Linked DNA regions of Mus musculus. The protein of the gene in region 4 interacts with the protein of the main gene of each other region in a pairwise test. Links are inferred from orthologs where the notes say so. Each region holds a gene or a part of one and is shown on either strand. Other genes may lie near its edges. The genes, in order: E2f1, Eid1, Apbb1ip, Ndn, Mkrn2, Gkap1 and Lax1.

Region 1 (3,500 bases), on a different chromosome or scaffold from region 4:
TTCTTTTTACTTGATAGTGTGTCTCCAAATCGTTTGTATCTAATTCAGCTGTGTCATTCCATGGCATGTTTGTGCTATTGTTTTCTTACCTGGCTCCTTGGTGGGTGTTTGTTGACTGATCAAGCATTTTACTGAGCCCGTGCCAGTCTTACTCTAAGCCTACCTGGGGAGCAGAGCCACAGAGGAAAAGGAGCTTGCCAGCTTCTCACAGAATAGTGGTGGCAACAGATTGTCTTGAGGGTTAGGGCTGATGGATGGGTTGGGGGCGCAAGGACTGCTAATTCTTCACTGGCTTCCCACAGAGGCAGCCACACCATGGTGGGGATTGGTAAGCGGCTTGAAGGCCTGACCCAGGACCTGCAGCAACTGCAGGAGAGTGAGCAGCAGCTGGATCACCTGATGCACATCTGTACCACACAGCTGCAACTGCTTTCGGAGGACTCCGACACCCAGCGATATCCTTGGATTGGTCAGGGTGCATTGAAGGCCGACTTGGCCAGTGGTGGCGCCGCACTACTGAGACTATAGAGGTTACCTAGGGCTCTGATGATAAAAAATTCTGGCTTTGGAAACAAGACCTGGCTCTACATTGACTTACCATGTGACACCGAACAAGTTACTTGGATTTTATGGGCCTCAGTTTCACCTATAAAAGAGAGGACAGTAATATCTATTTCCAAAATTGTACATATTAATAGAAAAATAGCCAGGGCTGTGGTGGCGTGCACCTTTAATCCCAGCACTTGGGAGATAGAGGCAGGCGGATCTCTGAGTTTGAGGGCAGGCTGCTCTACAGAGCCAGTTTGCTGTCTCAAAAAAAAAAAAAAAAAAAAAAAAAGAGAAAGAAAAACGCTGGGCATGGTGGCGCACGCCTTTAATCCCAGCACTCGGGAGGCAGAGGCAGGCAGATTTCTGAGTGTGAGGCCAGCCTGGTCTACAGAGTGAGTTCCAGGACAGTCAGGGCTATACAGAGAAACCCTGTCTCAAAAAACAAAAATAAAATAAAATCTGACATTCTCTTCTGCTGTCTGAAGACAGCTATAGTATACTTATATATAACAAATAAATCTTTTTTTAAAATCAAGTAATACATTTTAAAAGAAGCCAAGGACTGGAGAGATGGCTCAGCAGTTAAAAGCATTTGTTACTCTTACAGAGGACCCAAGTTCAATTCCTTGCATGTACATGGTGGCTCACAGCTATCTGTAGTTCTAGTTATAGTGCATTTATGCCCTCTTCTGACCTCCAAAAGCACTAAGTGCTTGTGTGGTGCACATACAGGTATGGAAACCACTCATATACAGAAAAGACCAGGCTGAGAACAGGGATACAGACTCTGGGGGAGCAGAGCCATGGGGATATCTGAACTCAGGCTGCTCTGGTCCACATGCTAGGCTAGCCAGGGCTACCCAGTGAGACCCTGTCTCAACCAAAGAAGGAAAGCCCAGTGTGGTGGTATATACTTGTAATCCCAGGGCCAGGGATGAGGCAGAAACTAACACTGAAGGCCAATTGAGGTTATAGAGTAAGACATGCAACATAAGCATAGGTCACTGGATTACACAGACCCTGTCACCAAAGAGTGACAAACCTTTCCTTGGTCATTAATTTAGTTCCCGATTGTAGCTTCAAAGTTAAGACTTTAATTCACAAAAAGAAACTATTAGAAAGTGTGCCTTTTAGTGAATATCATTATCAGTAAGATTGTCAAAATCCATTTCCCAGTCCAGACCTGTTGAGCATTTGATATGAAATTATTACAGGCAGCCATGAGTTTGGAATTGGATGGGTAGATAGTCTCACTGTTGAGAAAGTTGAAGTTTAGTAATGAGATTCTGGGCAGCTACTATGGGCCAGGTGGTGGGATGAGGGTGTCAAAAAGGAGTGACTGGGGAGGCGTATGTGAGTCAGTGGTCCTTGACTCCCCCAACCCTGGCCTATGTGACCTGCCAGGACCTTCGCAGCATTGCAGACCCTGCAGAACAGATGGTCATAGTGATCAAGGCCCCTCCTGAGACCCAACTACAAGCTGTGGATTCTTCAGAGGTGAGACTAAGGACCCTAAGCCTTTCCAAGACAGGGAGGCTGGGCTGGTGCTCACCTAGGCCTTACCTATCTATCCTGCCTGCTGCCTCCACCCAGACATTTCAGATCTCCCTTAAGAGCAAACAAGGCCCCATTGATGTTTTCCTGTGCCCGGAGGAGAGTGCAGACGGGATTAGCCCTGGGAAGACCTCATGCCAGGAGACATCCTCTGGGGAGGACCGGACTGCAGACTCTGGCCCAGCAGGGCCTCCACCATCACCTCCCTCCACATCCCCAGCCTTGGATCCCAGTCAATCCCTGTTGGGCCTGGAGCAAGGTAGGTAGGGCCAGGGTTTGTAGTATTTGGCAGGCACTCATGGCAGCCCCTCTCCTGCTGGGCCTCTCCTAACTTGTAATGCCTCCTTTCTCCAGAAGCAGTATTGCCACGGATGGGCCACCTGAGGGTCCCTATGGAAGAGGACCAACTGTCACCACTGGTGGCTGCTGACTCACTCCTGGAGCATGTTAAAGAAGACTTCTCTGGGCTCCTCCCTGGGGAGTTCATCAGCCTCTCCCCACCCCACGAGGCCCTTGACTATCACTTTGGTCTCGAGGAGGGTGAGGGCATTAGAGATCTCTTTGACTGTGACTTTGGGGACCTGACCCCTCTGGATTTCTGACAGAAGCCTAGGGATTCAGGGTGTCTGGAGATGCCCACCTGTCTGCAGCTTTGGAGCCTCCTGCCCTGGGCCATCCTTCCTGCCTCATTGGAATAGCACGATCCATACCCTCTGTCCCAATAGCTTCTAGCTCTGGGGTTTGGTTGCTGCCACATTGAGCAGACCAAAATGGGAAGGATGTTGTACAGTGTGTGTGCATGCACCCCACACTGCGCACTGTGTGCCTGGGGTGTGTGTCTGAGTGTGTGTGTGTGTGTGTGTGTGTGAGTGTGTGTGTGTGTGTGTGTGAGTGTGTGTGTGTGTGTGTGTGTGTGTGTGTGTGTGTGTGTGTGTGTATGTATGTGTATGTGCACGTGTGCCCGGGAATGAAGGTGAACACATCTGTATGTGTGCTGCAGACACATCCTGGTGTGTCCACATGTGTGCATGGATCCATGTGTGCGCATTGGGGTGGGGGTGGGCTCTAACTGCACTTTTGGTGTCCTTGCTGCAGGGGCCCTGTGAGGCCCAGGGTGGCTGCCTGCTTTCAGAATCCTGTGTGTCAGCCAGGCCGGGTGGTACAGCTTGCCTGGCTGGGTTTGCAGGGCAGCAAGAGCACTGCTTAAAAGTTTTCCGATCGAAGCTTTAATGGAGCGTTTATTTATTTATCGAGGCCTCTGGCAAGCCTGGGGGGATAAGCAAAGGGTGGGGGGCATGGGTGATACCTTAAGTCCCTGTTCTCTGAAGCAAGGGCAGGATCCCTACCCAAGAGTTGCTGAGGCCCAAGCAGTTTATTTATTGGGAAAGGGAGAGGGA
Region 2 (4,058 bases), on a different chromosome or scaffold from region 4:
AGGATCATGTAACACTTTGGAGAAAAGTTCGCTGAAGAATATAAAAAATGACCATTGGCAAAAATTATATAAGATAAAGAGGAATGCTATGGAGCATTGTCTCTTGGACATGACAGGGCCATTGCATCCACGAATAATAAACTAAAGCTATGGAAAGATTATAAAGATACAATCAAGGCTGGAGAAATGGCTCAGCAGTAAACAGCATCGGCTGCTCACACTAAGGACCAGGGTTCGACTCCCAGTAATCACAGGGCAGTGTACAACTGACTTCGTTTCTAGGAGTTCCAACGCCCTCTTTTGGCCTCTGTAGGCACAATGCACACACGTGGCACACAAACATTACAGACAGGCAAACAAACGCATACACACGAAAGAGAGATCAAATTGATAAAACTTAAGTTTACTTATATTAATTCCATAAAACAATACGTGGTAAGGGTGTGGATATTCTCAAACACTATTGGCTACAGTTTAAGTTTGTAGAGCAACCGTGGCGCGTGATTATCTGTATATATTTAAAATATGTATAGCCTATTTTCCACCTTTCTTTATCCTAGTACTCACACATGTATGTGGTTTAGTTTCCCCATGGTATATACGTGTGGACATACACACAATTTATCTTTGGTTAGGTCAACTTCAATAAATTCAGAAGAAAAAAACCGAAAAGTTAAATTTTCTCAGTGCGCAGGACGGGACTAGTGGGATTTGAAATGGTGAGAGGTAATGGACATGCTGATCACAGGAACGCTGGGGAGGCAGGGAGGTGGAGGAGAGATGGCATCTGTGACAGAAGGCCAGGGCTTTCCATCTAGGCAAAGCAAGCACTTGGCAAGGAACTTAGAGCTGGTCTCCAGGTGGGTCACCAGCGGAAGCATCGCGGGTCCTGAGTGGGTGTGAGGGTGAGGTGGGAGTCCGGGAAACATAGGGGGTGAGGGGTGGGAAGGGAAGAGCTCGCGCCCGCGCCCGCGCCCGCGCACCACGCCCCCCCCCCCCCCCGTGGACCAAGCGGCCTACTCGCCAGCACACGCACGCCATGCTGGCACGCGCACCACGCCCGCCTACCCGTTTGCGCACGTGAAACGTGCTCCGCACGCGCATCACGCATGCCCACTCGCCTGCGCACGCGCCCCCCCCCCCCAGCTCGCGCTCCACGCACGCCCTCTTGCCTGCGCACGCGCACCACGCCCGTTCGCGCGCCCGTCTCTGCAAAAGGTTCCTTTTTTTTTTCCACCTTGGTCGAGTCGCTTCCACCATGGCGGAGATGGCAGAGCTTTGCGAGCTGTACGAAGAAAGCAACGAGTTGCAGATGGACGTGCTGCCCGGCGAGGGCTATATGGAGGTAGGCCGCGGGGCCCGCGGGCCGGCCCCGGAGGAGGGCCCCATGGAGGAGGAGGCCGGGCCGGCCGCCGCCCGCGCCCAGCGCGGTCTGTTCCCCGAGGCTGGCGCGGACCTGGAAGGCGACGAGTTTGATGACTGGGAGGACGACTACGAGTTCCCTGAAGAGGAGCGCTGGAGCGGCGCGATGCACAGGGTGTCCGCCGCCCTGGAGGAAGCCAACAAGGTGTTCCTGCGAACCGCGCGAGCCGGAGATGCCCTGGATGGCGGCTTTCAGGCGCGGTGTGAGAAGAGCCCTTTCGACCAGCTAGCTTTTATCGAAGAGCTGTTTTCGCTGATGGTTGTCAATCGACTGACCGAAGAGCTCGGTTGTGATGAGATCATTGATCGAGAGTAAATGCTGACGAGAGAGGAGGAAACTACCTGAGAGGGAGAGATTCAACATTCTGCTATTTTGGGGTTCATTCCAAATAGTTCTGTGCAAAAAATAAAAACAGTTGGTTTTTGTTTCTCGGAATAGAAGACGGGACAGTGAATGACCATGCATTGTGGAAAAGGAGAATCGAGGAAGGAGGAGTGTTAAACCTGAGAATCGCGAGGAGAAAAAGACCAAATCGTTCCTCTTTGGTCTCACAGGGGCTCAGCAAAAACCTCTGGTTCAGACTGTTGATCGAGATGATTTTCCTTACATTGGAGAAGAGCTTTCTCTGTTAAGCTTTTAAAGATGGTTTGGAAGAGTAAATTGTGACTACCAATACAAGAATCTAATTAAAGAATGGGGGGAAATACATTCCAAGATGTCTTTAATTCGAACTGAAAGGCTATTGAAAAAAAAAAAAACTTTCCAAATTCTTTTTGGTGATTTATACACATCAGTTATCAAAAGCTAAACTTGAGGTTTAAGATTGAGTATTCATCTACCCCACAGAGTAGTCCAAGTAAATGTGGGTATAAATGTAGACGTGTTATCATGTGTGCTGTCATCTTAAAATGTGTTACAAACGCTTCTGGAATTTTGACTGCACATGTATCTTCATGATTTATAAAGCTACTGTGACCTCTAATTTGGAAAAACCCATTGTAATGATTTTCAAAGTAAAGAAAGAAACAGGATGTCTTTTTAAGGTTTTAAGTTCATGCATTAAATAAAATGTATGGGAAAGCCCAAAGACAAACTTTCTAATACCCTTTTATACTAGGGAAATTTCACTTGCTGTTTTGTACCTTGACAGATGGTAAGACTATAACTGAAGTTCATATTGTAAGAACTGTTTGCTAAAATTGTCAAGTAAAAAGAAATCCTGCCTGTATCTATAAAAAGATGTATGAGCTATTATGTTGTCAAACTTTGAAGGTTTTAAACCTACCCAGAAGTCCACCTGGGTGTCTGATATTCATATTCTCTCTCTCCCTCTCTGCCTCTTTCTTCCCCTCCCCCTCCCTTCTTCTAATTATGCTTGTTAATCTTTATGCACCAGCATTGGCGATAATAAATTTTCTTGTTCTGTGTATTTTGCTTTGTCTAATAGCTTTGCATACATGCTTTATACAGGATTCTCTTGCTGTGTGTGCCACGCCTCCATCTTGATATTTAAACATCCAATGCTTACAATGTAAACCAGTATCAAATATCCAAAAAATGGGTTCTGGGATGTTAAAGCAAATTTCAGAGTTTTCTGGAAGACCCGCTCTGTGAATGTGATGCTATGGCTTAATTGATGCTGAAGTTCCTTGAGAAGAAAATGATGTATTAGCACGATGTCCCTGCTGATGCCACCATGGCAACCAATACAGAACAGAGCTGAGACAGTAGGATAACTCCTGGGTTTCTGTGGGGTTGGTTGGTTGGTTTTACAGTCATCTTGTTTGAGAGGCTGCCGAGGTGGTTCAGTGGGTAAAGGTACCTTCTGCCATATAGCCAAGCCTGATGGCCTGAGTTTGATCTCTGGGGTCCATGTGGTGGAGGGAGGGAGAGAGACCTCCCCCAAGATTGGGCAGGCCTGTTAGTAATTTTAGACCCTCACCTGGGATTTTAGTTGCTCCTGTACCTCCAAAGCACCTGTACATAATTTTGCCCCGGTTACATGTGGTTTCAGAAGGTGCTAAAACACAAAAGGTGGGAGGTTGGCTGATGTTAGGTGGGGACTCGTGTTTGGGAAGCTGTCACCCATGTTAGGGTAGGACATTTAGATAGAGCCGCTACAAACACTTCCATGGGTAACCCCTCAGCCCTCTTTTTTACTCACCCAATAAATTGCCTCACTAGTTGGACTTGAGGGAATCATTTATTGATCTGTTATTGGTATTTACCTGCTGTAAATAGACTTTTGTTCACATCTCCACAGAAATATAATACAAATATCCATAAATTTGAGTGTATTTGTGTTTGGGGACCAAAGTATATCGTGGAAGTTAAGAGGAGAAGCCATGCATTGGTATTTCTTTGTATCCTTTATTCTGCATTTATCTATCTATCTATCTATCTATCTATCTATCTATCTATCTATCTATCTATCTATCTATCTGGGAGATTCATGCCACAGTAAGCAAAGGGCAAAAAATAACCTTCAGGAGTTGCTTCTCTCCCAGCATTTGGGTGGGGCCTAGGGATCAGACACAGGTCATCAGGCGTGGTAGTAAACTCTTTTACTCACTGGACCCTCTTGTATTTATCTTTAGTTTTGTGGCGATAGGGTCTCACTATGTAGCTCCAGCTG
Region 3 (3,500 bases), on a different chromosome or scaffold from region 4:
AGGGGTTTCCTTCATGTCATAATAAATTTCACGTCCTTTCAGTGAGCCCTTGAGACTTTCAGGTGTTTTGTTTTGTTTTGTTTTAGTGAATTAAAGCAATTGAAAATTAGTCGGGAACCCTATATGAAGTGCCAAGTGAACCCCAAGACCGGATCAGAAGATTCCCAAAAGGGGTCCACTTATAAAATGTGCATTTTATATTTTTCACTTAATGACTTGAATACATACTCAGGGTGATGGAAAAGAAAATACATTTAAAATAATAACCAAGAGCTAGGGGTGCAGATCAGAGACACAGCACGTGCCCTATATGTGTGAGGGTATGTGGGCTCCATAGCTAGCACAGACGGAAGGAAGGAAGGAAGGAAGGAAGGAAGGAAGGAAGGAAGGAAGGAAGGAAGGATGGAAGGAAGGAAGGAAGGAAGAAGGCAGGCAGGCAAGCAGGCAGGCTGAAATATAACATCCTCCATAACTTTTTATATAAAAGAGACTAATGAAGATTAATTTAAATTTGTATAAAACCCATAGATGCTTGTAATTTAGTTATTAATCCAATTCAGGTGACTCTTGAATTTCCACTGAGTGTTTCTTGTGGTGCAGTACAGCTCAGACTAATTGTGGTCCTGTCCTATCACCCACATATTACAATCCACGTGCACAACTTCAATAATTTTCTTCATCCACACCTTCAAAGGTAAAAGTGAAAATTGGTGTTCACTTAAAGATTTGTTGTTTTTGAAAGCCATTTCAGACTTTTAAAAGCTGTTTCTCTAATCTATCCAAACCTGAGAGTCTGACCAGGCAGTGTTCTTTCTGTTATATTTTCATTATTTCTGTAACATTAGTCAAAAAGAAGTATTTTTTTAAGAAGGAATGAAAGAACCCCAGAATAGAAATAATTTCTTTGTGAATGCCAATACCTAATCTGCCTGATCCAAAAAAATCAAGAAATAAATCACAAGTTTATGAGCTTTGCATGCTAAGTAAATAAATGAAACACAATTGAAACTCATTGAAAAGTACTTTGCTAGAAGAAAAAAAAAAAAACCTAAATTTAATATCTAGTAGTTCAGGCTGTTAAGCAGAGAAAAAAAATGCTTTAAAAGCTGATAAAAATGTAAATTAAAGTGATGATGGTTTTCACCAGAACATAGTCATTCAATTCAGCTGCCTGAAATTGCTGGGGACGTTACATTTATATAAATACACTGTTACTTAAATACACATTGTTATTGCCATTGTCAAGTCCTCTATTGAACGCTGTAGACCTTAGAGTCTAGAGAGACTTAAGCCAGGTCAAGTGTTCTGACTCTAGGGCTTATCTCACTATAACATGAGGCAGCTCATGTTCATTGTATACCTGAATTTCATAACACACAAGCACGCACTCACACCCACACACAAATGCACACACACAATTTTAGACTATGTGTCCTGCTTCCAACCTCTCCCTTCTGGAACCTTCTAAGGTACAAGGACAAAGTTTATGATCAACTCCTCCTTAGAAGGGCAGAGTCTAGGAACTGGAACCTTTGTTCTAAGAACAGTGCTGCATGGAAATTTCATCCACAACCAAGGGAAAGATTGGACACACTCTCCAGCAGGAAGAGATCCTTTATGGCTTTGTAAAAGAGTTACCTGTCACCCAGACAGGATTACTTCTCAGTTTCTTCACTTGTACATTCTTCATCCTAACCAAGCAGGCTGTCTAAACAAAGAGGATTTCTTTTAGCATAATATTCTTTATTTATTCTTTGAGAATTCACAATTTATCTCAAGCACATTTATCCCCCATCCCCCCATTCCAACTCCTCTCAAATACCCCCTCACTCCCACACACTCTTCCTTCTCAACTCCATGTTCCCTTTTTTCTTATAACCCACTGAGTCCAGTGTTACCTATATACTCATGGGTATAGGGCCATCCACTGGGTCACAGTCAACCTGCCAGGGACCATAGCCCTAAGGAGAACTGACTCTCCCTCCTCAGTAGTCAGTCGATCCTCAGCTAGGGGTAGGAGCTCCTATACTTGTGCCAGCTGTGCTGGAAAGTCCACTAGCTGGATCTTATGCAGGTCATGGCCTGTCATGTCCAGGACATACTTTCACCCTCATCTTCTCCAACCTCTGGCTCTTACAGTCCTTTTGCCTCTTCTTGTTCCAGAGAACTGAGTCTTGGGGGGGGGGGGGGAGGGTGTATTACAAAGATGTTCCATGTATGAGTGAGCACGTCACTGATACTTGTTCTCCGCACCTGGATCAGTGTGAGTCTCTGTAATGACTGTTGGCCACTGTGCAAAGAATTTTCTCCGATGGGGACGAAGCAGCACTAACCTAAAGATACAGAGAGAGATTTAGAAGGCAGTTTAAAACTTTGTCCATTTAGTAAAAATAATAGTATGTTCACCCCTAGAGTCTGTGAGCTCTTTAGCCAAGTGCTTCACTAGATTTTAAGCCAAGATATTTTGGTGAACACTCTGAGATGCCCCTTAATTACCTCTATGCTGTCAACGGTGTGGCACAGAGGGATAGTTCACTCACATATACTCATGCACACACCTAAAATTGTGTTCCTGCATATGCCCACTGATAGCTTGCCTTAGGTCAGGAGTAGGGAGTCTTAGAGAATCGTCTGGTTTCCAGTTTGAGTTGAGTTAGGATTTATTAGTACTTTAGAGAGACATTTAACTTCTGTGTAAGACTTGCTAGGGAAGGTCTGTGCTTGTCCTAAACACAGTAAACACCTCCTAGAGTAAATGTGGTTAAGATGCCCAGTTACAGAGCGTGCTGTTTTAGTGCTCACATCTAATGATGTGACAGACATTTGGAATCATTCCTGTGCCTGGAGAAAGGTGAGCTCATGAGCACGTTAAGACCCAGTGTAGGAAGGAATGGGGCAATCCCATCAGCGGCAATGCCACATGATGGATGTACTGTCAAGAACTGTAAGAACTCTATTGTTTCTTTATTGAAGGATGAAAAGCAAGGCTTGGGTAACCATTCCCCAGGAGCAACCAGGGAGAACCACCGTCCTAAGTCCAGCCTGCCACCGCCACCCCCTCCAGTAAGACGGTCTTCAGACACCTGTGGCAGCCCCGCCTTGCCATCCAAGGTCAAGGGCCCTGGCACCTGCACCTTCCCCCACCCGCCGGAGAACTTCCTGCCACCTCCACCGCCCCCACCGCCTGAGGAGGACAACAGCGGGCTACTCCCGCCACCCCCGCCCCCGCCCTACCTGGAGGAGCCACCAGACTTCGTGCCACCACCCCCACCGCCTGCAGCTGTTGAAGACTCTGCATTGCCACCCCCGCCACCACCCCCGCCCTGTCTCTCCCAGGAGATAACTAAGTCATCTCCGTTGCCCCCCAAAAAGCCCCTAGTCCCCCCCAAGAGGCAAGAGAACCAAGGACTCCCCGGTGCACCAGGGAACAGTGAGCAAGATTTTATGTCAGACCTCATGAAAGCATTGCAAAAGAAAAGAGGCAATATACCCTAGGGACA
Region 4 (3,556 bases):
TAAGAAGCAAACTAATAACACGTCTAGGCTGGAGTTTAAAACAAGTTATTGTACATGTGCAAATATTCTCAAATCTGGAAAACTCTGAATCGCTTCTTGCCATAACTATTCTGGGTAAAAGATAGCTGTTATATCTAAACAAACATATTTTAGAACCTAGGAATGCCAACATGATATCTTAAATCTGTCCGCTTTAAGTGATGAGAAGGGCTAAGGAATTCCATTATTTCAGAACAAGAAAGATGATCAAATCTAAGGACTTCTGGCTTTGGAAGCTTCAACAATGGTCATTGTATAAAGGAGAGTTTGAGGAAATATCAGCTTTAGATGACCTCTCGATCTACCTTTTTATTTTTGGACACCAATATGTTGCATCTTATTCATGAGAGACTGTTAGGTATCGAAAAGAGCTGCATTTAAAATATATTGGGAAAGATTTGGATGTGCTCCCAACATGGAATTAGTCATTTGTGAATGACATAATTTAAGAAGTAGAAGATTTCTTATAAACGCAGAAGATGCAGTGAGCAGGGCAAAAAGGTAGTGGGAAAATATGAAAAATACACTGTCATAAAATGTGTATTAATAAATATGTTGATCATTTTCCACTAGAATCTTAACGGAAGCTTTAGATGAAAACAAAGTGACCTAATAGAAATGGAGAGCCCAAATCTATAGTTATTAAAATAATTCAAAACCAACAAACTGAGCATCCAATGATGAATGAATGCATATATATATATTTTATATATCCCTCATTTTCATGTGGGGCCTGGGGGATTTAAATTCTGGTTCTCATGCTTGAACTGCAAAAGCTCTTAACCACTGAACCAAGTCTCATTTTAATTAAAATTTTAAACTCCCATCAATTATGCTATATGAATCTACTACTTCTAGAACATTCAAATCTCACATGGATTTATCTCCAGTGTCTGTAACTACACTTTACATTCTTCCTTGTTTGATCTGCATTCAGATATGTAAGAATTTATCTCTATTAATAATTTCTCAATATTCCAATCTTAAACAACTCATCATCATCATAAGGTACAGCTTTCCAAAAGAAAAAAGAAAAAAAAGTCATTTCTGTTTCTCTTATTCTTTTGTAGAAAAACCAAAATCAAGAATTAAGTCTTTCTCCAGGACCTTCACATTTAATTTGATTTTGCACAAACTCAGTGTGTCCGAACTTAACTTCACCATCTCAGCTACATCTTTCTCCTTCAACTTGTTTCTTTCCCTACCATCATCTAGTTCTGTGCCATACAGGAGACCAGGAAATCTTTTACATAAGCCTAGTGGTACCCTCCCTTAGACCCCAGTGGTTGGGCTTTGCTGCTTCGCTCCTTTCCAGCCCTACCACCCTTCTGGCTTCCCAACACGCATGCGCAATATCGCATCAGCCCCGCCCGCCCGCTGCTGCGGAAGGCGCAGTGCTCAGTAAAGCGCACTTCCTCTGCTGGTCTCCACCGAGGGAGTGCCCGCTCCAAGAGCTCCAAGCCGCATCGGTCCTGCTCTGATCCGAAGGCGCAGACATGTCGGAACAAAGTAAGGACCTGAGCGACCCTAACTTTGCAGCCGAGGTCCCCGACTGTGAGATGCAGGACAGCGATGCCGTTCCGGTGGGGATCCCTCCTCCCGCTTCTCTGGCCGCTAACCTCGCAGGGCCACCGTGCGCTCCCGAAGGCCCTATGGCAGCCCAACAGGCCTCGCCACCGCCCGAAGAACGGATAGAAGATGTTGACCCTAAAATCCTGCAGCAGGCCGCAGAGGAGGGCCGCGCCCACCAGCCCCAGAGTCCAGCCCGGCCGATCCCAGCACCGCCAGCCCCTGCCCAGCTGGTGCAGAAGGCGCACGAGCTCATGTGGTACGTGTTGGTGAAGGACCAGAAGAGGATGGTCCTCTGGTTTCCAGACATGGTGAAAGAGGTCATGGGCAGCTACAAGAAATGGTGCAGAAGCATCCTCAGGCGCACCAGCGTCATCCTCGCCAGAGTGTTCGGGCTGCACCTGAGGCTGACCAATCTCCACACCATGGAGTTTGCCCTGGTCAAAGCCCTCAGCCCAGAGGAGCTAGACAGGGTGGCGCTCAACAACCGTATGCCCATGACAGGCCTCCTGCTCATGATCCTGAGCCTCATCTATGTGAAGGGCCGCGGGGCCAGAGAGGGTGCGGTCTGGAATGTGCTGCGCATCCTGGGGCTGAGGCCCTGGAAGAAGCACTCCACCTTCGGAGACGTGAGGAAGATAATCACCGAGGAGTTCGTCCAGCAGAATTACCTGAAGTACCAGCGTGTGCCCCACATCGAGCCTCCCGAGTACGAGTTCTTCTGGGGGTCCAGAGCTAACCGTGAAATCACCAAGATGCAGATCATGGAGTTCCTGGCCAGAGTCTTCAAGAAAGATCCCCAGGCGTGGCCTTCCCGATACAGGGAGGCTCTGGAGCAGGCCAGAGCTCTGCGGGAGGCTAATCTTGCTGCCCAGGCCCCCCGCAGCAGTGTCTCTGAGGACTAAAAAGGTCCAGGGGCACACTGATAGTTTCTGACCCATACTAGGGCTGTGTAAGGGTGGGGTTGAGTCATTAGAGTATCCCAAATCCACAGTGCAGTATTTCATGTATAATTTTTAAGTTTTCCATACAGTGCTTTTGTACCTTGTAATGCTATTCATTTGTGTACTCGTGTAGTGTTTAAGATTGATGCATGTGTGATAAGTATTTGGTACTTTCACTTTTGTGCTTTCGTGCATTTTTGTACAAGAGATGTGCTGTGCTAAACTTGTGAAATACATTGAGGTGTTCTGTATCTTGTTCTTTGTATGGGACTGATGATCTGTATCGACAAAGAAGGCCCTGGAGAGTTAGCAGGACTTAACAGCAACGCAGACCTGAGCAAGAGAAAGGTCAAGGCCTTTCTCCATATGACTTCAACTGGCACAGGAAGCATCCATGTGGAATGGACTGATTTGAACTGGACTGTTCTCAGTGTAGGCACTTAGCACCCTTTACAAAACATGTATGCAACCCCACCATAAATAAACGTTAAAATGAGCATTAAAGATACTGTGAAATAATTTCTTGGGGGGGGGGAGGAGGCATTTATTTTTGATGAAAGGGGGAGTGGGAATGGGTGGGGATGAGAAAGATTCTCCCTGTGTGCAGCATAAGCAAACACGGTGTCCTAACACAGTGGGAGACCACACGACCACTCAGAAGAAACTTGCAGTGCTTTAATCAATTTGTCACATAAAAGGTATAACAACAACAACAAAAAAGCTCATTATCACATAACATGGGGATAATAACAGGTATATGGAGGGCCTGCCCCTTTTCTGTTGCATTTTTTAAAATAGTCTTTGATGGACACTTTAGCAGAATAAACCCTTATCATGCATTTTCTTCTTTATTTTGTCCTCCCACCAGCCATAAGAAGTAAGGAATAACTGTATCATCACAGAGCAAGAAAAAATAAAAGGGGTGTTGGTAATGAACTATCCTAAAACCTTTATACAGGAGTCTTGACACCAAGCTCCCCATGGCCACCACTCACACACGCACT
Region 5 (4,040 bases), on a different chromosome or scaffold from region 4:
GTCTCTCTGCAGAAGTAGTCAGCATCCTTAACTCTCCAGTCCCGTCCTTCATACCCTTTTATAAGGAAACCTCCTTTTCATACATTTTTGTGAGAATGAGAACATGTGAAAACTCTGAAATGTCCTGCAGTTGAGCCCGGGGTCTAAGACTCAATGCTGGCTTCACACCTGTGTCACTCTGACGCTAACCCTGGGGAAAACCTGACAATACCAAGGTCGTTTCACTGTGGAAGATGTTCATAGAGTTGACAGATCTCAAGGTTGTGATGGATGCTACTGACTGCAGATCACTGAGGAGACAAATCTCCTGTCACAACTGTGAGGGAGAGGTGGGAAGACCCATCCTGAGTGTGGAGGTGTCGATCCTTAGGCTGGGGCCCAAGACTGAATAAAAAGGGAAGGGTGACCTCGGCACCAGCACTCTTTGCTGTCTGAGTGTATGAGGTCAGCTACAACAAGCTCCTGCCACCATGCCTTCCCCTCTGTCATGGGCTGTACCTGCAAACTGAGAGTCAAAATACAGCCTTCCTTCGTTACATGCTTCATCCAGGTATAGCACTATACAGCACTACACATTCTATGACTTGACAAGGCAGCAGAAAGAAGACCACAAACACTAGTCAACCCATCTAGCCCCAGCATTCCAACTCTTACCTGCACCACATCTTGGGTTCTCTTATTTGTGAGACAGAGCTAAAACTATCTCCGGGTACAAAGGGGGAGAATCAAAATGGCCGGGCTTAAGCATTACATGAAGGTTTTGTAGACACGTGTCTTAGGAAAGCCTTTAAGTGGTAGAACTAAAAAGCATCTAGGAGTCGGGCAGTGGTGGTGCACGCCTTTAATCCCAGCACTCGGGAGGCAGAGGCAGGCGGATTTCTGAGTTCGAGGCCAGCCTGGTCTACAGAGTGAGTTCCAGGACAGCCAGGGCTATACAGAGAAACCCTGTCTCAAAAACAAAAACAAAAAACAAAACAAAAAAACAAAACCATCTAGGTGTGGTGGCAATTAATTCTTGCATGGGAAGGAGAGGTAGGCAGATCTGAGTTCAAGGCCAGCCTGATACATATAGAGAGTTTCAGGATATACACAGAGAGACTCTGTCTCAAACAACAAAACTGTAAACAAGCAGAGTTTTAGAGGTTATTTTCTAAGTAGCTTGAGTCTGCTTTAAAGGCCACTGTGGTAGGAACACGTCCTCCTGCAGACGGAAGGGAGTAAGTACCCATTCACTCATCCTCAACAGAGACGTTCTAGTAGCGATGACCTGCAAGCACTGTTACAGGACTGCCGAAAAGTTCCCATTGCTGTGATAAATCACCAGGACCTAAAGCGACTTTGGGAGGAGAGCTTAGACTTGTAGGTATCTTCTACTTAAGTGTCTTACTCCATCACTATGGGAGGCCAGTGCAGGACTCCAGGCAGGAGCTAATGCAGAAGCAAGGAGAGTGCTGTTGACTGGCTTGACCCTCTTGGCTTGCTCAGCCTTTCTTACTGCACCCAGGACCACTAGCCCAGAGGTGGCACCACCCACAGTGAGCTGGGTCCTCCCACATCAGTTATCAACCAAGAGGTTCCCTCTTCCCAAATGATGATGTCTCATGTCAACTTTGTCAAGTTAACACAAAACTAGCATATGCATACACACAGACACACACAGACATACACAAACTGCAGTTTTCTGATTACTACTTAACATAAACCACCTGGGACCTTGGTACATGGTTCAACCCTTAATATCTTAAGTCGAACAGAACTCTTCATAAAGGTATTAGTTCTAGGAGTCTGCACTAATGAGAAATAACAAGGTCATTAAATGCTTACCACATATCCAAACTACATCTCAATTTCTTAATTTACTGAAACCAACTAAAGTCTGTATAAGCCGAGGCTCCTTTAATCCAAAAAGCTTGGGCTCAGGAGAGTCTTTAATTTTTTTTGTACTTTACAGTATTTTCATGTACATAAGGTCTTGGGGATAGTACAAGAGTCTAAACACAGAATTCATCATTTCACATATGCTTATACACATACCCTGAAAAAGTTCTCTGTGTAGCCTTTGCTGTCCTGGACTCCCTCTATAGACCAGGCTGGCTTCAACTAACTGAGATCCACCTGCCTCTGCCTCCCAGTGCTGGGATTAAAGGCGTGCGCCACCACCGCCCGCCTTCTATTTAGGTATCTTAAGAGTATTGGATTTTGGAGCCTTTTGAAATTTGGGTTTCCACAGTCGGGATTCTCACAAGCCTTACTTCCCAAGCTGCACCTCCTGAGCATGCAAACTCACAGGACTAGACCCCAATGACAGCCACAAGCTCGTCACCAAGTTAGTACGTTGCTACTCAACCCAACTATTTTTGTTTCAAAATAGTAGTCACGGAATAGTTTTCTGCTTTCCACTTCGTCTAACAAGCCGCCTTTCTGTTCCTAAATGGGTGTCGCTTTACCTCTGGTGGCCTCGGTTTCCTGCATCTCGAAATGGGACTCTTCGGAGGCTCAGTGGTGATGCTGGATAAGAAATGCGACCTGCCCGTGTTTCCCCGCAATCGCCCTCGCTCACTCTCTGCAAGTCGCGGTTGCAGCAGCTCTTGCCGCTCTAGCCTCTATGCGGCCTTCCTGCGCGTTATCCGCGCTGTCCGCCCCCCGCCACCGCCCGCCTCGGCCCCTCGCCTCCCTCCCTGGCTGCCCCGCAGCGCCCAAGGCCCAGAGGGGCCGCGCACTCACCTGCAGGTGACCTGCTTGGTGCTCATGGCGGCGGGGCCACGGGCTGGAGTCGCACTGAAACCTCAGAGCCGCCAGCGCCGTGGCCCAGCCCGGCCCCGCCCCGCCCTTCCCCGCCCCGCCCCGCCCCCCGCGGAGTCGCGTCACTCCTGCGCGCGCCACCCTCGTTCGTGCGCTACTTCTAAGGTGCCGCCCGGAAACCTAACCACCATCACAATGGGTTCCGCCAGGGCCTGGAGCCGGAAGGTCCCTACTCCTTAGTAGTCCGGATCCCAACTTTCTGAGGCTAAGGGTCTGAGCATGTCTAGTATACTGAATTTACCAATCATCTGCGAGGCCCTTACTTCTAGGGTTCGGCCCCCATCTCTCAAGGCAGTCTTTTAAGATGATGATGATGATGATTGATGATGTTAATGATGATAAAAGTAATTTTACTATTTATCTTTATTTTATGATATGAGTGTTTTTGCCTGCATGTGTGGCTGTACACCAAGTGGAATGCAGTGCTGGTGCAAGCCAGAAGAGGGAGTTAGATCACCTGAAACTGGAGTTGCAGACGATTGTGAGTTACCATGTCGGTGCTGGGAACTGAACCCTGGTCCCCAACTAAACAGCCAGTGCTCCTAACCACTGAGCCATCCTCTAGTAAGAATTTTTATTTATTTATTTATTTTTGGATAATTTCATACATGTGTACAATGTATTTGATTATATCCACACCAAATATCCTCTCCCCGTACTGATCTTTTTGTGTACATACATACATACATACATACATGCATACATACATACATACGTACATAACTCAAGGCAGGAATCTGGAGGCAGACACTGAAGCAGTATGTACATATATATAATTTGGATTTTTGCAAACTACAGTTGTGTTATCAGCTTTGAAAAAGTGTCTCCTGGTTTATTGTGTTGAGTTGGCATTGTATAGAAATGAACAGCAGGGGGCTGGAGAGATGGCTCAACGGTTAAGAGCACTGACTGCTCTTCTGAAGATCCTGAGTTCAAATCCCAGCAACCACATGGTGGCTCACAACCAGCCGAAATGAGATCATGAGATCTGGTGCCCTCTTCTGGTGTGTCTGAAAACAGCAACAGTGTACTTACATATAATAAATAAATTTAAAAAAGAAGAAGAAGAAAAAATGAACAGCATAGTACTCTGGAAACATTATGGGTATTCTTTTCATTTTATAGAGGTGGTACACTGTAAAAACAGGTAAGGACTTCTGAATGCTCAGCTCTAAATAGAACATGTGTGCCAATACCCTGACCTTGCTAGCAAGGCTCTGAGAATATCATGGAAGGGG
Region 6 (4,192 bases), on a different chromosome or scaffold from region 4:
TTCTTTCAGCTGTTTTAGAACTGCTTCAACTGCTTATGGCCACCTATTTAGCTGCCTTCAACCCCAGTCCTATGAAAACCGGTAAGTAGCTGCATCCTCCTCTTCCAAGTGTTCACGCTCCCTCTTACAAGCAACCGGGTCTCAAGACCTCATTTCTCCCTTCCCAATCAGATGTTCAAATCCTGTAGAATGCACCTCCACATCACTTCTCAATCATTTAAAATTCTTCCTGCCTTCCTTTATCTTGTCTTGCCCCATCCTCTTGGCCCCGACCCCCGGATCAATCTTTCTGTGTAGCCACCGGCCTTGGACTCACTTTCTGATCAGCTTGCCAAGTGTTGGGGGCTCATAGCCGTGTGTCCTCACCGCCCCCCCCGCCCCCCCATAGCTCATCTGTTATTACCGTCTGCCTGGTCTACACAGGACTGCCAGTTTTCAATCTCTAACATCTGCAGGAGTTACAAAGCAAAAAAAGCCTTCATTTCTTCCTTCAAACTTCTAAATCCTAAAACATCAAATATTGCCTTAAACATCAATCCTTACTCTTGGAACTCAGCCATCCCTCACCACCGCCGCCCCCCTCCCTCATTTTTCAGTCGTCTCTGCCACTTGTCAACACCTCCAATCTCATTGTGGAACGCAGCGTCCAATGGCCTCCATCCAAGGCCCCGAGGTCTCCCCGCAAAACCCCACCTCTTCCCAGGCCAAATCCAAAAGCCTCCTCCCTCGCGCTGCCCCAAAGATGCTCGCAGTCCTCGGATCCCGAGTAACATTCTCTTTTTCCACCGGGCCCTAGGGTGATCTGGCGTCTTCTGCGATTCTTTGCTTCGCTCCCCACTGTGTCCCCCACGTCTACACCCGCGGCGGTGACTCGCGCGGGACATCGCCGGGCAGCCCGCACGGCTGGGCGGTAGCGGACGGGTTTGCCGGTAAGCCGCTTAACTTTGCAAAACTAAAGCGGCCCCGGAGGTGCTCCCGCGGGAACCCAAGGCCGTCCGGCTGTTTGCATCTCGTGCAGCACCGCCCTCCCTCGCCGACTGGAGGTCCGCCTCCGCCCCCGGGCCTCCCCACAGCCTGGCGATCCCGCCGCGCGCCGCCCGCGGCGGCCTAAGCCTCCTCCCGGAAGGCCTCCCACCTTCCCGGCTCCGCGACCCCGAGGACCGCGGAGCCGCCGCCTACGCGAGCCGTTTGGACCCTGCGCGGCCCCCGTAGCGCGGCTCCTCCAGCAGGTGGTTCTGGTCCTCCGCAGTCCGTCCCCCGCGGACCTCTCCTCGGCGTCAGCGTCCGCCGCGCTGCGACCCTCGGCAAAGAAGTCCCGCGCGCCGGCCGGCCACGGCGGGCGCCAGGCTTGCGGGTCCGCCCCGCCCCGCCCCGCCCCGCCCTCCGCGCGCCGCCGCCCTCCGCGGGCCCGTTACTGCGGACGCCCCGCGGCCCGCGCCCAACGCCCGGGGGTAGCGCGGGAGCGGCGGGGAGACGGGAGCGGCCGCACCGCGGCGAGGGAGGCCCGGTGAGTCTACGGAGCCTCGCAGCTCGTGGCTGAGGGGACGCGGCCGAGTGCGGCCTGAGGCGGGGAGCGGAGCGGAGCGGAGCCGAGCGGGGCTGAGCCGAGCGGGGCCGGGCGGCGGGAGGGCCGCGGAGGCTGCGGGGGAGTGCGGGCCGCAGGCCTGGTCCGCCGCGGCCGGCCGCGGGAGTGACAGCAGGTGCGGCCGCCCGTTCGGGGCTCCCCGGGGCGCCCACCCGACGCCGGTGTCGCTTGCAGGCTTGGACACCGCGTCTCGGCAGCGGCTGGGGCTCGCCCAGCCCGCCGCGCTCTTTCTCCGGGTACTTCGCGAACAAGTTTTGGAGCACCCGGAACTGCTCGTGCGTGAGATTTGGCTTCGGTTCCCGAAGGAGGAGAGAGGGGCTGCTCGCCGCTCGCCTTCCCTCCCTCCCTCCCAGCAGCCCGAGGTAGATGCGCAGGCTCTCGCACAAGCCCCTGCTGTCGGGGCTTCCAGCAGCTATGCGCGGCGGCGGCGGTGGCAGCGGTAGGGTGCCAGCCTCGGGGTGTCTGTAAACGCGGAGCAGTCGGGGCAAAAGTTTATCCCATTGTCTGCCCCGCTCCCTCCACTGGCGACATTTCTCAAGGGATGTCGGTGGAGAGTTCTAGCGAGAGGCAGAGGCGCTGGAAAAACACAAGCATTGTTCTTCAGCCTCGTCTGTTTATGTGAAGGCGCTTGCGCCCGCCTGTCACGGGAATGAAGTTAAGCTGTAGCTCCAGAAATACTGGAGAAACTGCCGAAAGATGGTAATGCTGTATTGAGAATCTTCCTAGAAAGCCTGGGGTTTCCCTACACTAGCTTATGCCACTAAAATCGGTTAGTCTAAGCCTCTTTAATGTGATTTTTCACTAAAGATCGAAATACACCTGTTTAATATTAACCCTAGGGGCTTCTAGCAATCACTCTAGAGCGAGAACCTACACGTGGATCAGAGGGACGTTGTGTGCAAGTGAAAATCACCTTTGCACTTCATGACTGAATTCCTTAGTACATGTCTGCAGTTTGCTTTTTGTTTTTGTTTCTAAGAGTTCACAACCCACAGAAGTTGAGAGCTTCGGATTAGAAAAGGAAGGCTGCACCTAACCAGTGTGTGTGTTGCGGGGGGGGGGGGGGTGGGGGGGGGTGGTGGAGCTCCGGGTATGCCTTTAAGTTTATGTCATTTTCGATAAGTGTGTTGGAAGCAAAAGTTTCAGGACCGTTGGTCCTCGATCCCTGTAACCTTAAGTTCTAAGAAGTCAAAATGACAGTCAAGCAGCCAAGAAGATGAGGGAGACCAGGCCATTCCTTTTCCTCTCATTTTGTAATTCGTAGGGACAGTGCTTGGCATCAAACCCAGGGCCTCTTGGAGTCGCAAGTCCTCAGTCTGTTGTGTTTGATCTGTTAGAGTCCACCAAGGCCTCTCTAGCTGCACGAACTGGTGTACACCTGTATTCCCAAGACTCAGGAGCCTGGGACAGGAGGATTGAGAGTTTGGTTCCAGTGCAGGCTACATGGTGAGAGAGCTGCCCTCTCAAAGCATATGGCCATATTAACTGATGACATTGACATTGCATAGTTCCGTTTTGGATCAAGCTAGGTGGTTGATAGTGTTGATCGACACAGTCACTACTGTTCATTTTTTAAAGGGCTGAAATTATGTACTTAAGTTCCCCCAGGCTCAATTCTTTCCCGACACTGATGTCATAGAAGAAGGTGCTCATGATGGCAGTGGCCCTTCATAGAGACCAAGGCCTCAAGAAAACAGGTCATTCATTTATAAATCTTGCTAGGCGTAGCTTGGCCTGTTCCTTAGTAGCAACAGTTTATCTCACACCCTCACCTTTTAAAAATCAGCAGTTTGACACAAAATCCAAAGCTTCCTACAAAAACAAGATTCCTAGGGGGAAAAAGATGAGTTGTGGAAACACTTCGTTGTGACGGTGCTGTTAGTTAGATGGTGTGTGCTCTCCACCCTCAGTGTTCAAGTTCAGAGCACAGATTCCAGTGCACACTTAGGTATGGCACTGTGTGATTGGAGAATGTAATTAAGCCTCAGTCAGTAAGCTTGAGGTCATGATTAACTTATTTAATGTTAATAATGTTAATTAATGTTTCTTCTTCTTTTTTTTTTTTTTTTTTTGCTGAGACTGTTTTTTACTGTGTAGCCCAGTTTAGCCTTGAACCTATGACCTTCCTGCCTTATCCCTTCCAGTACTGAGACTGCAGATGTGCCCATTACAACTGGCTGATATCTGTGCCAAGTCCTTGATTGATATATATATATATATTTGGGAATACAAAGAAGAGACCTGTGTTGTTCAGCATTTTGTAAATCAGGACAGTAGGGAGCTAGATACAGTGGTAGCTGTTGAAAGAGTCCATGAAGAACAGAATTAAGTGTAAGTGCAGGAACATTAACGAGAAGGCAGATCAGAATTGCAATGGGGCTAAATTTGAAGAACGGAGAAGTTTTAAGTGGAGGAGACAGACATTCCAGACTCCAGGAACAAGTGAACACTGAGCAGTCTGTTTTCTCGCAGAACAGGGAAAGTGGGAGAAATCACTGTAGAATGTAAGTGAATTACTTTTTTAATAAAAATATAGCCATAAATTAATCCAGCAGCTGTATTTCTTTGCTTTATTCCAGTCCCCAATAACCACACAGAGTAACAATA
Region 7 (4,178 bases), on a different chromosome or scaffold from region 4:
TTGAGGTAAATGCTGGCGAGAAACCCAGCAGTACCTGAAATGAGAGGTTACCCAGGACTGGGACTGGCTGCAGCAGAGCCAGGCCAGCAACAGATAGCCCCTCACCAGAAGCCCTGAGGAAGAAACAGTGGCCAACGGCCCTGTAACCCGGGCTCGGTTCCATTCCCACTATGATACCGGAACAGAGGCTCTGAGAGTATGAAACTCAGCTCACCTCTGGCATTATCACCTGCAGAAGATCTATTTATGAAGCCAGTCCACCCACGGAACCACAAGCGGGTGCCAGCTCTGTACAGCTCTCTAAACAACTAATTCTAGCTCTTTTGAGATCTGCTAAGAACCATTCTAAGGCCAGCATTGGTGGTACACTTTTTCAATCCCAGCCCTTAGGAGACAGAGGCTGGAGGACCTCTGAGAGTTTGAGGTCAGCCAGCCTGGCCTGTGTAGTGAAATACAGAACAGGGCAGTGGTGGCACACGCCTTTAATCCCAGCACTCAGGAGGTAGAGGCAGTCGGGTTTCTGAGTTCGAGGCCAGCCTGGTCTACAAAGTATGTTCCAGGCCAGCCAGGGCTATACAGAGAAACCCTGTCTCGAAAAACCAAAAAGAGAGGGGGGGGGAGGGAGGGAGGGAGGGAGGGAGGGAGGGAGGAAGGGAGGGAGGGAGGGAGGGAGGAAGAAAGAAAGAAAGAAAGAAAGAAAGAAAGAAAGAAAGAAAGAAAGAAAGAAAGAAAGAAAGAAAGAAAGAAAGAAAGAAAGAAAAGCCATGGATGTGTAGAGAAACCCTGTCTTGGGTTGGGAGCAGGGGTAAGAACCATTCTGAGCCCTGAGCCTGATTCACACCTGTAAGCACATCACCAGGGACATTAAGACAAGAAGCTACTATGAGTTCAGTCAACTTGACCTCTGAAGGGAGATCTGCCTCACAAAAACAAAAAACAAAAAAAACATAGTGTGCAAGATGGTTCATTGGATACAAACACTTGCCTCTGTCCAACACCCTAGTTTGACTCTTGAGACCAACACAGTAAGTAGGAAAGAACACACTCCCTCCAGTGTTCTCTGACCCCCACTCATGTGGCACGGCATGTGTGCAGACACAGTAAATAGATGTGAAAAGCATAAATAAGTAAAGATAACCAATGACAATAGCTACGCAAGCACATTGTCTTGAACCTTCGAATTTTGACCCTAGAGGTTTTTAACACTCAGAAAAACAGGGTGAATAGTCATGTCTCTGACTCTTCAACCACATGGGCCCCAGATGCCAGAGTGCCTGTGGGGAACAGGAGGGCTGAAGGTGGGTTTCCTGCTGTCTGGGTTGAGCGGAGCATTTCCTGTGCCCTGGCCTTATTAGCACACCGGTGGAGGGTGCTTCCTGTCAGCGACTTTCCATTCTGCCAGAGTGGTTTGCTGTTTTCACACTGCCCTGGGGGTTGGAGGAAGAAGATTTTCTCACGAAAACGCTGGGCCTCTTGACAGTCGCCTCCCTACTCCCCCACAGGCCCCTCATGTTTCCATCAACTGGCAGAAACTAGAGAGTGGCCCTACTGCTTCACACTGGGAGCACAGACAGCTGGGTGAGAAAGAGCACGGCTCCTGCAGTGGGCATTGTGGCCACCTCCAGTAGACCAACTCTGATGAACCTTCTACCAACTCAGCCTGGAATTTCAGGTGAAGGTAGGGAGGTTTGGGTCTTATTACTATTGTTGTTGCTGTTAGTAGTAGTAGTGGTGGTACAGCCGTTCTGTGTGTGTGTGTGTGTGTGTGTGTGTGTGTGTGTGTGTGTGTGTCTCGGAAGATCAGAAGATAATTTGTAGGAACCGGTTCTTGCCTTCCACTATGCATGCAGAGGGTAAACTTGGGTCATTAAACTGGCAGTAAGTACCTTTACCTGCAGAGCCATCGCACCAGCCCAAAGAAGGCAGTTTGTTGGGAGAACATTCTAGAACAGAAGATTAAAAGCTTCAGAAAGAAACAAAAACTAAAAACCAGTTTTGTATGTGAGAACCTTGGTGAATATGATCTAGGAAGAATGACTGGGAGGTGGCTGCATTGCATGAGGTACTCGAAGCCCTGGGGTTCCAGCTCCAGAACCACCTTCATGAGTGCGGTGGTGCACACCTGGAAATCCCAGTGCTGAGGGAGCAGAGGCAGAGGATCAGAGTTCAAGATCCTACACCCCCCATATATGTATATGTATATGTATATGTATATGTATATGTATATGTATATGTATATGTATATGTATATGTATATGTATGTGTATATATGTGTATATATATATATACATATATATATATGTATATATATATATATCATCTTGGGTACTTAAATAAGAAATTTCAATAGTACAAAATGATACAATTTGGAATACATAGGGATTTGGAGAATTTTCTGTCATTCTATTATCTACTTTTTTTTTAAAAGGTGATTATATGCAAAATGCATACCAGTTTACCCTTTTTCCCCTCTATGAATCAGCAACTTAGAAAGAGCTAAGAAAAGTGGAAGCCATACTGGCTAGTCAGTCACGACACTGAAAAGGCTTAGAAGCTGCAAAGCCCCTCAGAGGTCCAGTGATGTACAGCACCCCGGCCCCTCCAGAGGTCACAAGAAGGAACTCAGAGCCCAGCACTCGGCAGGGGACTCTTGGCAGCCTGCAGGGGTGAGTGCTTTGGGAAAGTGAGCCCCAGGGTCCCCTGATCTCCTACAGGAATGGTCTATTTCCAACCCAGACCTGGGTCCACCAAGATGAGCAAACTTGGGGAGCTAAGAGCTGTTTCCCCGAGGGATGCTGGGAGGGAAGAAAAGAGATACTGGGGTTGAGGGGAGAGGGACGGACTGACTGAGAGGTGAATTTCTGAGGGGATCTTCTTCCACTCAGAGGTCCTGACCTCTGCCCTTGAGATTTCCAACCTCTTGGCCTAATCCCTGCAATGAGTTTTTAGATCCTAAAGCCCTTGTCATGAGTGAGAAATGTAACTGCAGACGTCATAAAGTTTTAGGACCTTACAGAGCTAGTCACGGATGTCAACGTGCTCCGGAAGTTTTCAATCTCAAATACACAAAAGGAAAGCATCTGTTGATAGGGCGCTGAGATTTTAGAAACATTAGAATGGGTAAATTCCAGCTCTTCCATCAAAGTAAAAACCCAATGACAGTGTATTCTGTTCCTGAATTGCTGTAGTTTCAGGAAAAGTCAGCGTGATGACCAGAGTAAATCAGTGTCACGAGCAGGTCAAACACAAACGAAGAGGACCAAGTTCCTATCCATCGCTGAAGCCTGGAGCACCCTCTTAAAATGAGTTCCCTCTTTATTATATCTGGGGGGAGTAGAATGGTGTAGAGGTCAGAGGGCAATTTACAGAAGTCAGTTTCATCATATGGGTGTCAGGGATCAAACTTAGCGTGTTGGGCTTGGCTGCAGGTGCCTTTACACACTGAGCCCTCTCACTGACCCCTTAAAACTATTTCTTTTTTAAGTTGACATTTGCTTTATTGTTGTTTTCTCTTTCTTTTTCACTTGGTAGTCAGTAAATAAAATCTGTACTTATGTATTATGTTTAGCACATAGTTTTGCAATACATGTGTATTATGGATGGCTAAATACCGTATGTATTACGTGACATATCCTTTTATGAGAGGATGCTTCAAATAACACTTTTAAGCAATGTTCAAGAATCCATTACTTTCAGCATTGCCATGTTGAACTTCTTCCTTCTACCTGACCTTTGGCACCTCTGGGAACCCTCCCTTACCACCTCTGGTGACCTCCATTCTATTCTCTGAGTCTCTGAGTTCAATCTATTTAGTCTCTGCATATAAGCAAGACGGAGCAGGACCTATCTGTTCCTGGGTTCTTTCACTTAATGCTAGGTCCTCTGGGTCCATCCACCATGTCGCAAATGACAAGATCGTCTTCCCTTTTAAAGCTCAGTGATATCTTTTGCATGTGTATTCCGAATTCTCTCTATCCACTTATCTGTTGATAGACACGCGGGTTAATTCTGCATCTTGGCTATGGTGACTTTTGCTGCAAAGATTATGACAGTACAAACATCTCTAATAAACACGGGAGTACAGACACAGTTTTCATTTGCTTTGAATAAAGTTCTTGTAGTGGGACTGACAGAGCATATGGCGATTCTATTTTTAATTTTTTGGGATAATTGCCATA

The links.
Region 1: the proteins of Ndn (region 4) and E2f1 interact in a two-hybrid assay, tested with the Homo sapiens proteins (2 studies listed by BioGRID). The link is inferred for Mus musculus from reciprocal best matches to the Homo sapiens genes NDN and E2F1.
Region 2: the proteins of Ndn (region 4) and Eid1 interact in binary tests that used the Homo sapiens proteins (3 or more experiments, as listed by UniProt). The link is inferred for Mus musculus from reciprocal best matches to the Homo sapiens genes NDN and EID1.
Region 3: the proteins of Ndn (region 4) and Apbb1ip interact in a two-hybrid assay, tested with the Homo sapiens proteins (2 studies listed by BioGRID and IntAct). The link is inferred for Mus musculus from reciprocal best matches to the Homo sapiens genes NDN and APBB1IP.
Region 5: the proteins of Ndn (region 4) and Mkrn2 interact in a two-hybrid assay, tested with the Homo sapiens proteins (2 studies listed by BioGRID and IntAct). The link is inferred for Mus musculus from reciprocal best matches to the Homo sapiens genes NDN and MKRN2.
Region 6: the proteins of Ndn (region 4) and Gkap1 interact in a two-hybrid assay, tested with the Homo sapiens proteins (2 studies listed by BioGRID and IntAct). The link is inferred for Mus musculus from reciprocal best matches to the Homo sapiens genes NDN and GKAP1.
Region 7: the proteins of Ndn (region 4) and Lax1 interact in a two-hybrid assay, tested with the Homo sapiens proteins (2 studies listed by BioGRID and IntAct). The link is inferred for Mus musculus from reciprocal best matches to the Homo sapiens genes NDN and LAX1.

The regions. Positions count from the first base shown.
Region 1 is NC_000068.7:154,559,893-154,563,392, reverse strand, and holds part of E2f1 (transcription factor E2F1), read left to right. Parts: intron 1-302; coding exon 303-455; intron 456-1,931; coding exon 1,932-2,046; intron 2,047-2,142; coding exon 2,143-2,362; intron 2,363-2,457; coding exon 2,458-2,705; 3' UTR 2,706-3,500. UniProt on the Homo sapiens protein: Transcription activator that binds DNA cooperatively with DP proteins through the E2 recognition site, 5'-TTTC[CG]CGC-3' found in the promoter region of a number of genes whose products are involved in cell cycle regulation or in DNA replication.
Region 2 is NC_000068.7:125,671,934-125,675,991, forward strand, and holds Eid1 (EP300-interacting inhibitor of differentiation 1), read left to right. Parts: upstream 1-1,258; coding exon 1,259-1,738; 3' UTR 1,739-3,710; downstream 3,711-4,058. UniProt on the Homo sapiens protein: Interacts with RB1 and EP300 and acts as a repressor of MYOD1 transactivation. Inhibits EP300 and CBP histone acetyltransferase activity.
Region 3 is NC_000068.7:22,871,827-22,875,326, forward strand, and holds part of Apbb1ip (amyloid beta A4 precursor protein-binding family B member 1-interacting protein), read left to right. Parts: intron 1-1,722; exon of another isoform or gene 1,723-2,333; intron 2,334-2,973; coding exon 2,974-3,495; 3' UTR 3,496-3,500. UniProt on the Homo sapiens protein: Appears to function in the signal transduction from Ras activation to actin cytoskeletal remodeling. Suppresses insulin-induced promoter activities through AP1 and SRE. Mediates Rap1-induced adhesion.
Region 4 is NC_000073.6:62,346,873-62,350,428, forward strand, and holds Ndn (necdin), read left to right. Parts: upstream 1-1,404; 5' UTR 1,405-1,535; coding exon 1,536-2,513; 3' UTR 2,514-3,056; downstream 3,057-3,556. UniProt on the Homo sapiens protein: Growth suppressor that facilitates the entry of the cell into cell cycle arrest.
Region 5 is NC_000072.6:115,600,698-115,604,737, reverse strand, and holds the start of Mkrn2 (probable E3 ubiquitin-protein ligase makorin-2), read right to left. Parts: upstream 2,801-4,040; 5' UTR 2,751-2,800; coding exon 2,725-2,750; intron 1-2,724. UniProt on the Homo sapiens protein: E3 ubiquitin ligase catalyzing the covalent attachment of ubiquitin moieties onto substrate proteins.
Region 6 is NC_000079.6:58,271,389-58,275,580, reverse strand, and holds the start of Gkap1 (G kinase-anchoring protein 1), read left to right. Parts: upstream 1-1,392; 5' UTR 1,393-1,507; intron 1,508-1,759; exon of another isoform or gene 1,760-1,947; intron 1,948-2,849; exon of another isoform or gene 2,850-3,031; intron 3,032-4,192. UniProt on the Homo sapiens protein: Regulates insulin-dependent IRS1 tyrosine phosphorylation in adipocytes by modulating the availability of IRS1 to IR tyrosine kinase. Its association with IRS1 is required for insulin-induced translocation of SLC2A4 to the cell membrane.
Region 7 is NC_000067.6:133,687,309-133,691,486, reverse strand, and holds the start of Lax1 (lymphocyte transmembrane adapter 1), read left to right. Parts: upstream 1-1,378; 5' UTR 1,379-1,678; intron 1,679-2,482; 5' UTR 2,483-2,580; coding exon 2,581-2,666; intron 2,667-3,188; exon of another isoform or gene 3,189-4,178. UniProt on the Homo sapiens protein: Negatively regulates TCR (T-cell antigen receptor)-mediated signaling in T-cells and BCR (B-cell antigen receptor)-mediated signaling in B-cells.